2 linked regions of the Elephas maximus indicus genome follow. The protein of the gene in region 1 purifies or fractionates together with the protein of each later gene. This does not show direct contact. Links are inferred from orthologs where the notes say so. Each region holds a gene or a part of one and is shown in the gene's direction. Other genes may lie near its edges. The genes, in order: MOB1A and PJA2.

Region 1 (7,946 bases):
GTACATTATAGACTGTGTCTGGTGGGGAACAAATTGCCCTGCAGCAATATCCACCTTTTTTTTCTTTTAAACACAAACCTCTGGGTTTTATCCCCAGCGGAAATTTCCTGGTGGCTTAATGGTTAAGAGCTATGGCTGCTAACCAAAAGGTCAGCAGTTCGAATCCACCAGGAGCTCCCTGGAAACCATACAGGGCAGTTCTACTCTGTCCTATAGGGATGCTCTGAGTCGGAATTCACTCAAGAGCAATGGGTTTGGTTTGGTTTTAGTCTTGACTGAGAAATAGTCTTACCTTTGACCCCTAAGTGGACTATATTGCTAACGTGGTTATCATATTTTTATGTCTTAGAATGAAAAAACAGTAAACTGCCTCATTAAAAATTTTAAAGTTGTTTTCATATTAAAATAATATTATTTTGGATGTGTTAGGTTAAATAAAATATATTCTTAAAATTAATTCCACTTGGAATTTTGTTTTTGTTGATTTTTGCTTTTATTTCTTTTAAATTTATATTAAACCAAAAAAATCTGTTGCCATCGAGTTGATTCCAACTCACAGTGACCCTATAGCGACCCTATACTAGAATATTTTAAATTACCTAAATGCCTCACATTATATTTCTATTGGACAGCACTGGTCTGAGTAAGTATGTACGAAAAACTGAAAATCTCATGTAAAAATTTCTCACAGAAAGCACGTGCATATCCAAGAATATACACATAAACGTACTTTCCAGTTTAAAACACTGCTCTATAGTAGCACATTCTTTCTCCAGGAGAAATCCTGGTGGCACAATGGTTAAGTACTCGGCTGGAAAGGTTGGCAGTTGGAACCCACTAAGTGGCTCCACAGGAGAAAGACCTGGTGACCTGGTGATCTGCTCCCATAAAGATCACAGTCTTGAAAACAGTATGGGGCAGTTTTACTTTGTCGCATAGGGTCACTATGAGTCTAAATGGAGTCAATGGCACCTAACCAACAACATTCTTTCTCAGAAGCCAAGGATACAGAACTAGCATAGGATTTACCTTGTGGCTCTCACTCCAGGCTCCTAGTGCTATAATATCCCCGTGGTTTTCCCACATGGCTCCTTGTAGAACTGGTTTTAGGAAGGATCCAGGCACCTCCGCCCTTCCCAAGAAATATGCACTCCATTTCTGGTAATTCCACTGCCATCTGAGCAAAGATGGTTCTCCACTGGGAAACCTGGAAACCTGAGAAAGATAAAGGCCAAAAAAAAGTGAATGCCCATAGTCTCTGAGCAAACACCTGCAACTAATTACTAGGCAACTCAAAAACTGCTGAAATGCAGGGATTACATCAGTTAAAAAATAGCCTAAAAACTATTTAGCCAAATATGTAATCACATTCATTTAGCAAGTATTCGATGAATACTTACCCTGTACAAGGCCCCACACGAGGCACATGTAAAATATAAATAAGTCAAAGATTCCACTTTTAGAAAACTGGTCATCTAATAGAGTTGGTAAGACATGTCAAAATTTCTTACCTTTTAAACAGCAAATATTGCTTGAGGATGTGTATATTTCAGGCATTAAGTGCTTAATGTACCTTACCTCATTTAATCCTCACAACCCAATGAGATTACCTCCATTTTACACACCAGAAAACTGAGGCAAAATGTTATGAAAATATCCAAGGTCACATGTTATTAGGAAGCACTGGCAGGGTTCCAACTCAGACAGCTCCAGAGTCTGAGCTTTTAGCTACTATTGTACCTTGCTTCCCCTTTCAAAAAAAAAAGGGTTAAAAAAGTATTTGCATAAAAAAAAAACGGTTGCCGTTGAATCAATTCCGACTCATAGCGACCCTATAGGACAGAGTAGAACTGCCCATAGGGTTTCCAAAGAGTGGCTGGGCGTATTCCAACTGCCGAACTTTTGGTTAGCAGCTGAACTCTTAACCGCTATGCCACCAGGGTTTCCAGTATTTGCTTATTAGGGAAAAATCGGAATATGCAGAAAAGTAGAAAAGAATATAAATACATAAGCCCTCAAAGGCCTACTACCCAACACAATTGCTGTTTACCATGTAAATACTGCTTTTTAACTTGAACTATAATTATATATTGCAATAACGATACAGATAAAGCATTATCAAAGTTTGGAGGAAGGAAAGATGACTTCCGGCTGGGTCCTGAAGGACAGGGTAGGATGTGGTTATTGGTCATCCCAGTCAGGAGGGATTATAAGCACAGGAGCGTGGACTCAAGTAGGTTTAAGGCTTAGTGGCAAACAGCAAGGCATTGTTTGCCAAGAGCACAGCCCTGGACAATGAAGCTAGAAAATAAGTTAAGGGCAGGTCATAAGAAGCCGAGAATTTAAGGAATTTTTTTTTCCTAAAATGAAATTACCTTTCATTTTGCTGATAATACTGTACTGATGACCATTTATTCCTGTGTCAATCTCCTCTATTAAACTGGAAATTCCTCAAAGGTGAAGTCTATGTCCACATTCATTTAACAATCATTTGTGAAGTAACTTCTTTGTGGTGGTACTGTGCTGAGCACTGGGGATGACAAATGAACAAGATACGTCTCTGCCTCCAAGGAATTCACAGTCTAGTGGGAAACAAAGTATAAGACAGGTCGCATGGAAATAACAGGGTGGGTTTCTGTCACTTGCTACCAAAAGAAGCCTAACAGTTACCCACATCTGGCCACAGTTTCCTCCTTCTCTGTGTTCCCACTCCCACCTTATAGAAGAAGCCAGATTAAAGGGAGTAACAAAGAGGTTCTTGAAAAATAAAATCATTGTAATCAAATGAGGAGTCTGGCAGGATGGGTCAGATAGAACGGAAAGGCTGATGTTGAAGAAACTTCCAGTAAGATAAGGGCTGAAAAATGCCCATGGAATATTTTAAGATTCTGAGACACTGGTGGCCTTGGTGAGAAAAATTTTTGTGGGAGGGTGGGCAGGGTGAAGAATCTGGACTGATGTGTGTTGAGAACAGAAGGATGGTAATATCATGGAGACTGAAGACTCTTATTGGGTCAGAACCGCTTTTTGCATTGTTAGGTGGTCCTTTGGGGGCCTCGCGTAATGTTAAAGCAAGATTAAAAAAAAAATTGGTACGAAAGCCCAATGAGCACATGAAAAGATGCTCAACATCAAACCTACAATGTGATACCACTTCACACCTGCTGTTGCCATCAAGTGGATTCTGACTCATAGCTACCCCATGTGTCAGTAGAACTGTGCCAAAAGACTCCAGTCAAAAAGATAGACAATAACAAATGTTGGTGACAATGTGGAGCAGTTGGAGTCTTCACATATTGCTGGTGGAAATGCAAAAGGTTTATTCACTTTAGAAATAAATTTAGACATAATTATCACTCCTAGGTCTATATCCAAGAGAAATGAACACACTGTCCACACAAAAACCTGTACAGCAATGTTCACAGCAGCATTTGTCATAATAGCCAAAAAATGGAAACAGCCTGACGGGCATCAACTGATGAGTGGTTAAACAAAATGTGGTATACCTCTACAGTGAAATATTATTCATCCATAAAAAGGAATGAAGTAGGAATATAGTTTACAACACAGACGGATCTTGAAACATTATGCTAAGTGAAAGAAATCAGACACAAAAGACTACATATTGTATGATTCCATTTATACGAAATATCCAGACTAGGGGAAACCCTGGTGGCCTAGTGGTTAAGTGCTGCCGCTGACAACCAAGAGGTTGGCAGTTCAAATCCGCCAGGTGCTCCTTGGAAACTCTATGGGACAGTTCTACTCCGTCCTACAGGGTCGCTGTAGGGTCGCTATGAGTCGGAACCGACTCCCCGGCAGTGGGTTTGGGTTTTTTTTTGGTTTATCCAGATTAGGCAAATCCAGAGAAAAAGAAAGTAGACTACTGATTGCCAGGAGTTGTGGGAAGAGGGGAGAATGGAGAGTGACTGCTAATAGAGACGGGTCTTCTTTCTGGGGTGATGTAAATGTTCTAGAATTAGAGAGTGGCGATGGTTGCATAACTGTGAATATACCAAAAAAAAAAACCCTACCGAATTGTGCACTTTAGAAGGATGGATTTTACAGCATGTGAATTACATCTTAATAAAAATAAATTAAATTTTAAAAATTGCAGGGATGGACAGCTCTCAGAGAGTCCCCCTATACGACCTAGATAGTAAGGACCGAACCCAGCGCTACCTAACCGGTCCAAAGGCATGGCTGACCTCTCCTAAGCGGAACACCGCAGTAACCACCACCGGAGCAGGAGAGGAGGAAAGTCCCTGCCTGGAGGCTCCTGATTGGCTGAGCTCTAGGAGGGGCGTGGCTAAAGGATGCGTCTCGTCCTTACCGGCGGGCGGGGCGGGACAGGCCCTTAGCTCGCGAGATTTTGCTGGTTCCGCATTTGGGCTCGAAGAAGCGGGGGAGACGGGTGAGGTGGGCGCAGCGGGTTGCACCGGCTCGACCCCCGGCTCGGAGCAGCGGCCGCCCGGCTTCTGCTGTCCGCGGGCTAAGGAGCGTCGCTTCCTCTCGGTCCCTGCACCGACCCCGAGTTCCGTCTGCGGCGGGGGGCGGCGGCCCCTCCCCTCCCCTCTGAGGACCGAAGATGAGCTTCCTCTTGTGAGTGGGGCCGGGCCGGGGGCGCCGGAGCCGAGGGCCCGGGTCGGGGAGGGCGCTGGGGATCTGGAGGCGAGGGCCGGGCCCTGTCCGGGCCCCGGGGTCGGGGTAGCCGGCCCTGGTTCTGCCCCTGCTCGGGGCCGCTGGGGGGCTGGGTCGTGGAGGGAGGCTGACGGAGGTGAAGGTCGAGGCAGAGGAAGCGGAGGGAGCAGGTTGGGGAGTCGAAAGGCCCCGAGGCCGGTAGCGCCTCCAAACTTTTCCGCCCGAGCGCTCCTGGGGGCGGAGAGACCATCGAAGGCGGAGCCCCGGGCCGCGCCACGGGCTTCATGTTTCTTTCCAGTTTCAGAAAACATTCCATGCTAACTTAGATTTTTCTCCATTATGTATCCGGTTTTATTATTGTCGGTATTTGAAATTACCCCTACGGAAAAGTGCCGGCTCCGGAAAATGTGGAGAAGCGTGGACTTAAAATGCAGGCCTTGCAGCCAGACCGAGCTGTCCGGTTCTGGTTCTGCCCCCTTACTGACTTAGTGACTTTGGATAAGTTAACTAACTTCTTTTTTCCTTGGTAGAAACTCACTTTAGGGATACTGGCCCAGATGAGGTTAAAATGGAAAAGTATGTAAATTCTCTGATGATTCGTAAGCACAGAAAGGTTTGAGAAGCATTGCTTTGGCACCCAATTTTTTGTTCTGGGGACACTCTCTACGTTGTATTATTGTTTACGATATATGGTTAAATAAATATCCATTTAGTTATGGACGTTAATTCACGTTCTTGTCATTTTTATTACGCAGTGTTTCATAAGAATACTATAAAAACCAAACCCCTTGCCGTTGAGTCGATTCCGACTCATAGGGATCTTATAGGACAGAGTAGAACTGCCCCATAGGGTTTCCAGGGAGCTCTAAACCGCTGCGCCACCAGGGCTTCAAGATTACTATACTAGCGTTTATTTAACCAGTTCTTTATTGTGAGAAATTTGGATTCTATTATTTTGCTATTATAAAATAGCACTCCTAAGACTACCTTTGTCCAAATTGCATTTTCCCTCATTTGGGTTATTAAAGGCGTAGTTTCCAAAGTATGATTACCATGTCAAAGTGTGAATGATTTAGGTTTTAATTACAAATTTCCATGTTACTAGGACAGTAACTGCTCCCCACTGTCTTTTTCCTATGAGTTACTGTTAATGGTTTGTTCGTGGATATACCTATAAAAGTCATTCTTCTGAAGTGTACAATTCAGTGGTTTTTAATATATTCATAGAATTGTGCAGTCATCACCACTATCTAATTCTAGAACATTTCTCATCACCCCCCCCCCCAAAATCCCATACCCATTAGCATTTACTCTCCATTCCCCTGGAAGTAGACCACTAGTCTGCTCTCTGTTCCTATACCAAAAAAAAAAACCCAAACCCATTGCTGTTCAGTGGATTCCGACTCATAGCAACCCCACAGGACAAAGTAGTACTGCCCCATGGAGTTTCCACGGAGCACCTGGTGGATTTGAACTGCTGGCCTTTTGGTTAGCAGCCTGAGCTCTTAACCACTATGCCACCAGGGATTTGCCTAACTGGCCATTTCCCGTCAGTGGCATCATATAATCATACAAAACACTTAGCATAATGTTTTCAAGGTTTGTCCAGGCGCTACTAGGAAACCCTGTGAGGCAGCTCTACTCTGTCCTCTAAGGTCACCTTGAGTCGGCATCTGGGATCTGTGTTGTAGCCTGTATCGGTACTTCACTCTTTTTTATGGGTGAATAATATTCCATTGTATGGATATACCACATTTTGTTTATATCCATTCATCCGTTAATGGGTATTTGGGTTGTTCCTCCTTTTTGGCTATTGTGATTTAGGCTGCTGTAGACATTCACGTACAGGTGTTTGTGTGAACATGTGTTCATTTCTCTGGGGTATAGACCTGGGAGTGGAATTGCTAGGTCATATTGTAACTATGTTAATCTTTTGAGGAGCTGCCAAACTGTATTTCAAATTGAGTATACCATTTTACATTCCCATCAGCTATGTACGAGGGTCCCAATTTCTTCACATCCTCATCCACACTTGTTATATTGTCTTTTTTTATTAAAGCCATCATAAAACAAAAAACCAAACCCAGTGCCGTCGAGTCAATTCCAACTCATAGCGACCCTATAGGACAGAGTAGAACTGCCCCATAGAGTTTCCAAGGAGCACCTGGTAGATTCGAACTGCTGACCCTTTGGCTAGCAGCCTTAGCACTTAACCACTACGCCACCGGGGTTTCCAAAGCCATCATAGTGGGTGTGAAATGTTATTTCATGGTAGTTTTGATTTGCATTTTTCTAATGTCTAATAATGTTGAGCATCTTTTCATGTGCCTATTGGCCATTTGTGTATCTTCTTAGGAGAAATGTCTTCAAATCCTTTGCCCATTAAAAAAAATGTACTGTATTTTTTTTGTAAACCTAAAACTCATCCAAAAAAAAATGCACTTTATTTTTTTTTTGGATAAGTTTTAGGTTAAAAAAAAAAATTGCACAGATAGTACAGAGAGTTCCCATAATATTCCCTCTCCCCTGAATACACAGTTTCTCCTGTTATTAATGACTTGCCTTTGTGTGGTACATTTGTTACAATTGATGAAGGAGTATCGCTACATTATTATTAACTAAACTCCGTAGTTTGGATTAGGTTCAGTCTTTGTGTTGTACAGTCCTCTGAGTTTTGACAAATGCATAATATCATGTATCCACCGTATAGTATCATGCTTACCAGTTTTGCTGCCCTTAAAATGTTCTGTGCTTCATTGTGCATCCTTCTCTCCCTCCCCAAGCCCCTGGCAACCACTGATCTTTTTATTGTCGATAGTCCGCCTTTTCTAGAATGTCATATTGTTGGAATCATACAGTACATAGCTTTTTCACTGGCTTCTCACTTAGCAATATGCATTTAAGGCTCGGCCATGTCTTTGAGTCTTGATAGCTCATTTCTTTTTTATTGCTGAATAATACTCCTTTGTATGGATGTACAAGAAGCCCTGGCGATGCAGTGGTTAAGCTCTTGGCTGCTACCAAAAGGTTGGCGATTCGAACCACCGGCAGCTCTGCGGGAGAAAGATGTAGCAGTCTCCTTTTGTAAAGATTACAGCCTTGGAAACCGTATGGGGCGGTTCTCCTCTGTCCTATAGGGTTGCTATGAGTCGAAACCGACTTGATGGCAATGGGTTTGGTTTGAATTTTTGATATGGATGTACCATAGTTTGTCCACTCACCTATTTAATGGCGTTTGGTTGCTTCCAGTTTTGGGCAGTTATGAATAAAACTGCTGTAAACATTTGTGTGCAGGTTTTTTTGTG
Region 2 (8,314 bases), on another chromosome or scaffold:
TCAGTAGGCATGGCTTCAAGAGTTCCTCCAGTTTCAGTCAGACCATTAAGTCTGGTCTTTTTATGTGAATTTGAATTCTGCACCACACTTTTCTCTTGCTCCATCAGGGACCCTCTGTTGTGATCTCTGTCAGGGCTGTCATTGGTCAGAGTCAGGTTGATGGAGTTTCTGGTTTATGTGGCTCTTTTGTATCTTGGGCTGATACGTTCCTTGTGCCTTTGATGTTCTTCATTTTCCTTTGCTCCACGTGGGCTGGGACTAATTGATGCATCTTAGATGGCTGCTCACAAGCTTTTAAGACCCCAGATGACACTTACCAAAGTGGGATCCAGAACATTTTCTTAATAAACTTTGTTATGCCAATAACGTAGATATCCCCTGGCACCATGGTCCCCAGATCTTAGCCCCTGCTACTCTGTCCCTCGAAGTGTTTGATTGTGTTCAGGAAACTTCTTAGTTTTGGTTTAGTCCAGTTGTGCTGACTTCCCCTATACTATGTGTTGTCCTTTCTTTCACCTAAGATGATTCTTGTCTACTATCTAATTAGTGTCCATCTGCTTTTGATGCTTTCTGCATCATTCAATGTTTTGCCTGTAGAATTCTTCAAAATTGCAACTCAAGTTTTGAATTTTTTCTTCAGTTCTTTTAGCTTGAGAAATACTGAGTGTGTTCTTCCCTTTTGGTTTTCTATCTCCAGGTCTTTGCATTTTTCATTATAATACTTTACTATGTCTTCTTGAATGGCCCTTTGAAATCTTCTGTTCAGCTTTTATTTCACCATTTCTTCCATTCGCTTTAGCTACTCTATGTTGACGAGCAAGTTACAGAGTCTCTTCTGACATCCATTGCAGTCTTTTCTTTCTTTCCTGTTTTTTTTTTTTTTTTTTAATGATCTTTTGCTGTCTTCATTTATGATCTTGATGTCTTCCTACAACTCGTCTGGTCTTCGGTCATTAATGTTCAGTGCATCAAATCTATTAATTGAGATGGTCTCCAAATTCAGGTGGAATACACTCAAGGTTGTACTTTGGCTCCCATGGACTTGTTTTAATTTTCTTCAGCTTCAATTTGAACTTGCATATGAACAATTGACAGCCTGTTCCACAGTCAGCCCCTGACCTTGTTTTGACTGATGATATTATGCTTTTCCATTGTCTCTTTCCATAGATGTAGTAGATTTGATTCCCATGTTTTTCATCAGTGAGGTCCACATGTATGTTGTTGTTGTTAAGTGCCAAAAATCAAGTTCGTTGCAACTGATAGTGGCCCTACAGGACAACGTAGAACTGCCTCCAATTAGGAATTTGAACTGCCGATCTTTTGGTTAGCTGCCGAGCTTTTAACCACTATGTCCCCAGGGCTCAAATGATGTACTGAACTGGGCAAATCTGCAGCAAAATTCCTCTTTACTCTGTTGAAAAGCAAAGATGTCACTCTGAGGGCAAAGCTGTGCCTGAACCAGGCCATGATGTTTTCAATCACCTCATATGCATGCAAAAGCTGGACAATGAATAAGGAAGACTGAAAAAGAATTGATGCCTTTGAATTATGATGTTGGTGAAGAATATAGAATATACCATAGACTGCCAGAAGAATGAATGAATCTGTGTTGGAAGAAGTATAGCCAGCATGCTCCTTGGAAGCAAGGATGGCGAGACTTGTCTCAAGTACTTTGGACATGTTTCAGGAGGGATCAGTCCCTGGAGAAGAACATCTTGCTTAGTAAAGTAGAGAGTCAGCAAAAAATAGGAATACCCTCAATGTACTGAATTGACACAGTGTCTGCATCAATGGGCTCAAGCATAATAATGTTTGTGGGGAAGGCGCAGGACCAGCTGTGTTTCCTTCTGTTGTACACAGTGTTTCTATGAGTTGGAACTAACTCAATGTCACCTAAGAACAACAAAACAATAATATGTATTTAGTATTTACCACATACTAATCGGAAACCCTGGGGATGTAGTGGTTAAGAGCTACGGCTGTTAACCAAAAGGTCAGCAGTTCAAATCCACCAGGTGCTTCTTAGAAACCCTATGGGGCAGTTCTACTCTATTCTATAGGGTGGCAATGAGTTGGAATTGACTCGACGGCAACAGGTTTGTTTGTTTCTTTGTTTTTAAATCATAATATGGAACCCTGGTGGCACAGTGGTCAAGAGCTTGGCTGCTAACCAAAAGGTTGGCAGTTTAAATCCACTAGCCATTCCTTGGAAACCCTATATGGCAGTTCTACTCTGTCCTGTAGAACTGCTATGAGTTAGAATGGATTGGATGGTTGCAGGGTTGGTTTTAAGCATAATACAAGGAGCCCTAGTGGCTGAGTAGTTAAGCATTCAGCTACTACACGAAAGGTCAGCAGTTTGAACCCACCAGCCACTTTATGGGAGAAAGATGTGGTAGTCTGCTTCTGTAGAGACTAATCATTAAAAACTCTGTTGTGCTCAAGTTAATTTTACCTTGGAAACTCTATGGGGTAGTTCTACTCCGTCCTGTTGGTCGCTGTGAGTCAGAATCAGCTAGATGGCAACAAAAAAAAAAAAGGTAAGCATAATTTGCCTTACATAGATTAGGTTGTTTAATCTACATAAAAACCCCATAAGTAAGCATTGCTACTTTCCCCATATTTAATGAGAAATTGAGGTTGAGAGGTAAGTAGAGTTCCCAGAAGCACACAGCTATGCACATAAGGAGTACAATGAGAGTGTGATCTGCTTGATCCCAGAGTACATTGCTTGTAAGCCTCCACAGTGCTGTTTCCCCCCAAATAACAGATCACTTATGATGCCTCAGATGACTTTAGTTGGGACACACATACAAGATTCAAAATAATAACTCAGTGAGAAAGTGATTCCTACTTTGCTACTATTGTTTGGATTACATCATGATGAAAATGTCATTTAAGCACTATATCTTTAATGTATGTCTAATGCTTGGTAACCTCTCCTTTTAACACAGTGAGTAGGCTTCTAGAACCTTTTAGTAGGCAATAGTTTTCAGCCAGAATTTAAAAACATTATGTTTACTTAGTTACTTTCACCTTAGGATAGTGATGCTAGTTTTCTTTTAGCAGTACTTTTATAAAGTTTTCCTCTTAAAAAATGTGAGAAAAAGTACATTTGTTTTAAAAATAATAATTACTGCATATAGTATACACAGATATGGCATGAAAGAGACTGAAATTTGGGAAACTGTGCCAGAACAGGTTGTCGTTGTTATTATTAGCTGCTGATTCTGACTGATGGTAACCCCATGTGTGCAGAGTAGAAAATGCCATAGGATTTCCAAGTCTGTGATCTTTCAGACGCAGAGCGCCAGGCCTGTCTTTCGAGTTGCCTCTGGATGGTTTGGATTGCCAACCTTTCCGGAAGGTTAACCATTTGCACTATCCAGGAGCTGCAACAGGTTAGTGTATACAATCTTAGCAATATTCTAATGGGAAATTAGAAACACGCCAGAAAAGTACCAATTCTCTTTCAAAGAGGGAGGGTCTTGGATGCAAAGAAAACCAGAACTTCTAGAGCAACACGCGTAAAGGTAGAGAAATGTCAAGTGGGAACTGTCCTCCCCAGTAAGAAATGTCCTACAGGGGTGGGCTGAAAATTAGACTTGGTTTTACGAAGTGTCTAGCAAATTCTCATCATCTGGGTTTCTATAGTAAATTTTGGATAGTTCGTTTCCGTCAATAGCAGAAAAATTAACAGTTTGAGTTAGCTGGCAGAATTTGTAGTTGCCAGGGGACAGTACAAGAAGTGGAGGTCTTCATTCAGGGCGGTGGGGACAATAAACATATTTTGTCACCAGGCGTTGGGGGAGGGGCTGGGGCATGAGATGGGAGTAGAGTGGGATTGTAATCAGAGAAGCAGGCATATTCAGGATGAAAAAAGAGGACACGTGCAGAACGAAAAAAACAATTTTTTATCACTGACATAATTAACTAAACAGTTACCCGGGTTTAAATTAAGCAAGATGTCCAGGGACTACAGCTGTTATATTTATTTTGGTTGCTTGTGATGGGAGCGGTTACTTCTCGGCTTGACAACCGATCAGCCTCAAGATGCAATCTGGGAAGCTCTGGTCAGGCCTTGGCTATAAAGGGGAAAGGCCTCCTTGTACACCGCCCCATTCCAGTACAATCAGAAATGGGAAGCGGGGAGAGAACTGACTGCGGTGGGTGGATAGAAGGCACTGTGTAGTGCGCAGTCAAGATGGGCAAGCGTGCTCTTCTTACGTCTGCTATTTTTTCTTCTCCCACAAGTATGAACAGCAACGGAATGAACTTTCATTATGCCAGGAGACCATAACCTGGTTAGATTTCCCGCTGAATCAGGAACGACTGCAATGCTCCATTTTGGTAGCTGCTGTTGTAATCCTGAAAAGTCTAGCTGCGCCAGACCTTCTCAGTTCACGGCTACTTCCCTTTCCCTGAGACCCCGCCCTTTTTCCCCCAGCCAAACCACAAAAGGCCTGCTGTTCCAGACCGAGACTGGTGCCCCGCCCCCTCCCCAAACGTCGCAGTACTGCAGGGAAAGAAGGCTGCCTCGGACGGGGGCGGAGTCGGGCTGCGTCTTTCCGCTCTTCGCCCAATCGGTGACGTCCTCCTGAAGGAGGAATGGGGAGCCGGTCGTAGAAGTAGTCCAAGTGTTTTCTCTTTTTCTGCCACGTCCCAACCATTGACGTGAGCCCACTCCTCAGATTGTCAGTGGATATTTAGACTGCCCCTGCAGAAATCCTTTCAATCTATTGGTCAGAGCTGTTTTGGGGGCGGGGCTTTATTTCTATCCTTCGCCTCTGCCGCGGCGCAAGGGGCGGGACGCGCTGCCACCGCCTCTGCTTCCGCCGCCGCTGCCGCCGCCAGCCCCTGCGCGTTCCGCGGGGGAGGAGTCGGAGGCGGAGAAGAAGGCGGTGGTGGCGGGTGGAGGATCGAGCGCTGTTCTCGCTCCGGAGCCGCTGCACATTCGGTGAGGGGATTTTTTTTTTTTTAACTGGCCTGTTATGATGTCGGGAGTGCGAGGGATCGGGGCGAGGAAATTGCTGCTTCAGTTCCTCGATTTGTTAGTTTCTCCCCTCAAGAAGGAGCGGGGCCTGTTCCTGGTCCGCTGCGCCGGCCATGGTGGGTGGGGTTGATGGTTGTAAGAGGCCTTCTTCGCCTCCTGGGCCGTGCCCAGCATGGACCTCGGGCCACATTCGTGTCCGTGGCCGCTGCGCCTGCTGACTTCCCTGAGGATGCCGTCGATTGGTATCGGGGGGCTCCGCTGCCCTCCTTTTCCTGCTGCCTCTTCTGCTGTCCTTGGTGCTTTGGCTAAGGACCCCGCACCACAGCCTTTCTCCCCACATTTGCGGCTGTCTAGGAGTGTGTCCCCCACTAACACCCCACAGCCGTCTTCTCTGCCCATCTCCAGTCATCTGGCATGGAGCTTATCCATCTTACGCCACAGGCCTGCACCCCCCCTCCCGCCGAAAAGCCTTCCGTTACCGCTGCTCTGGTGGGTGTATTACCATTTTTCCCGGTTGTCAGCGAACTCGGGCACGCAGATACCCTGCACAAACCACAGCTGTCGTTTTTCTCCCGGTATTAGCACCCACCATTCCATCACCGCTTCTCCCTGTTGGCGATGTCAGATCAAAGCACGCCTTGATTGAAGGCCTATGCACCTTCAGCTTCGGCCTCCCTAAGATTACTGTTTGGTAATCATTTTGCGCACATTCAGAACGGTGAGTTTAAAGCCGCTCAGACCAAGTTGAAGAAAAGGGGAGGAGGTAATAAATAGTCTTTTTGCAGGGAGGAAGAATAATCTGTTTGTAGACTTTCCACGCATTAAAAAATACATCTGCGTAGACACTGCTTTGAGCCTGTTCTGGTTCTGTGAAGTTACACATTTTTTAAAGTTTCATATATATATCTGTTATTTTTATCATGAAATATTGATCAGTTAAATTTCTTTAAAACGGCAGTCACCTTTGCTGAAGACTACAGATCATTTGAAGAATATGTAAATATACCCGAAGATAACGGAAATAAACGATTAAACTGTTTTTTCAACTTTGTAGTTGTCTTCTGGAATTCATGTGATTTTTAATGAAATAACTTTGATTTTTTACTTAATTACAGGCATGCAAGCTTGGTGTAAAATTCAAACAGTATATTTGAAAAGACTATTAGGTAAAATGTGAAAATTTCTCTTCATCTCCTAGTCCCTCTCCAGTATCTAGAGTTAACAATTTAGTATGCATCTTTTAAAATCCTTTTACACATGCACTTTTACACACACACACACACCCAGTTTGGGCGGGGGTGGGTGGGGAAGATTGTACCAAACACATTAACATATCACTTGCTTTTTCATTTAATTATCCATCTGGGAAACTTTCCCTGTTATATATAGGTCTACCTAATATTTTTTAAGGGTTAAGTGGTATTTCATTAATTTAATCATTCCTTTATTGATCAAGAAAAAAAAAAAAATGCCGTCTAGTCTATTTTGACTCATAGCGACCTTTTAGGACGGAGTAAAACTGTCCCATAGAGTTTCCAAGGAGCACCTGGTGGATTCAAACTGCTGACTTTTTGGTTAGCAACCATAACTCATAACCACTAGGCCACCAGGATTTCCCCTTTATTGATAGATATTTAAATTAATTGCAGCTTTTTTGCTGTCACAAGTAATGCTTTCTGTGCAACCAAGTTTTTAATTTATTGATTTATTTTTAACTATAAACTTTAAAATTGTACTTGAGTTTAAAAATTGAAATAGTATGGAAGAATATAAGATCCCAGAAAAAAAACTCGAATATAAGATAAAAAAGTACAATTCCCACTTGCCCTTTTAGTCCTACCTTCATCCTAAGAATCACTGTTAACTTGCTTTCATCCCAGTCATCATTAACAATTTCGTAAACAACTTCTGTGTGTGATTATTTCTGAAGGGTGGATTCCTAGAAATGTAATTACTAGGTTTAAAAAAAAAAGTGTATCCATATTTTAAATTTTGGTAATTTCTCCCTCAATACTTTTTTCAGAAATATTCTCAACTGTTTTTTTTTTTTTTTAATGTATTTCCTCCTTCAGATGAACTTTAGACTCAACCTGTAAAATAAAAAATCCTTACCCTTTACCGTCAAGCTGTTTCTGACTCATAGTGACCATATAGGACAGAGTAGAACTGCCCCATAGGATTTACAAGGCTGTAATCATACATCTTTCCCCTGCAGAGTGGCTGGCTGGTGGGTTCAAACCTCCAGCCTCTTGGTTAGCACCCCCAGGGTTCCTTAAAAAAGTCCTTGGTGATTTTGAATGGTTTCATATTGAAATTTTAGATTACTTTGGAGATAGCTTACCTTTATTGTATGGGAAGTGGTGTGTCTTTTAGTGAGGTCTTTATGTTCTTAGGGAAGGTTTTATAGTTTGTTTTGTTTTGTTCATATGTGTATGTATATATATGATATTCCTTCTTTTAGTATTCTTAGCTATTTCATGGTTTGATTGCTGTGGTAGATGTAAACTTTGCAGCAACATATTCTCTTTGTTTTTGTTCCAGTTATAGGAAAGCTTTCGAATTTTCTGTTATCGTGTTTCTCATCACTTCATTGAGTTGATGTTTACCTGAAAATATTCAGTTTTGTGGTTTCCTTTTCAGTTTTTATAAATCAATCGTTTTTCTCTCTCATTGTTTTGGCTATTATACATACTGTATAATGTTGCATAATAGCAGTAATCACTAGAAACTTGGTGTATTTCTGGCTTTAAGGAGAATGTTTCTAATTTTTTAGTATAAATTATAATATTTTTGGAAGCTTTCTGAGAAATAGCTGATATTAACCCAGTGCCGTCAGGTCAGCTGATATTAGGTGATAATATCTCTTCCTATTCTTGGCTTTCCAAAAGGATTTTATTGTTGTTATTTCATTTCTGTTGACATTTTTAAAACCACAATTGGGTATTGAATTTTATTAGATGTTTTTTGATATCTTTTGAAGTAGTTATATAAGGCATCACCAAATATTCCCTGGTTAATATTTTCCTAAGAAAGCACCTTTTTTAAAATAATCAATTTTATTGAGGATAATTAACATATAATAAAAAGTATACACCCATTTAAAATACACAGTTCATTGTGTTTTGACTAATGTGTACACACATCACTACCACCACCATCAAAAGAAAAATATTTTCATCATCACAATGAAAATATAGAATATTTCCATCATTCTCAAAAGTTCCCTTCTACCCTTTTTAGTCAGTCCCATATCACCCTCAGCCTCAGGAAACCACTCATCATCTTTTTTTTCCCTCACTGTAAATTAGTTTCATTTGTTCT

What was found.
Region 2: the proteins of MOB1A (region 1) and PJA2 purify together in Homo sapiens (affinity purification with western blotting; 3 studies listed by BioGRID). This does not show direct contact. The link is inferred for Elephas maximus indicus from reciprocal best matches to the Homo sapiens genes MOB1A and PJA2.

The regions. Positions count from the first base shown.
Region 1 is NC_064835.1:61,694,362-61,702,307, forward strand, and holds the start of MOB1A (MOB kinase activator 1A), read left to right. Parts: upstream 1-4,396; 5' UTR 4,397-4,588; coding exon 4,589-4,602; intron 4,603-7,946. UniProt on the Homo sapiens protein: Activator of LATS1/2 in the Hippo signaling pathway which plays a pivotal role in organ size control and tumor suppression by restricting proliferation and promoting apoptosis.
Region 2 is NC_064820.1:118,560,070-118,568,383, reverse strand, and holds the start of PJA2 (E3 ubiquitin-protein ligase Praja-2), read left to right. Parts: upstream 1-4,848; 5' UTR 4,849-4,957; intron 4,958-8,314.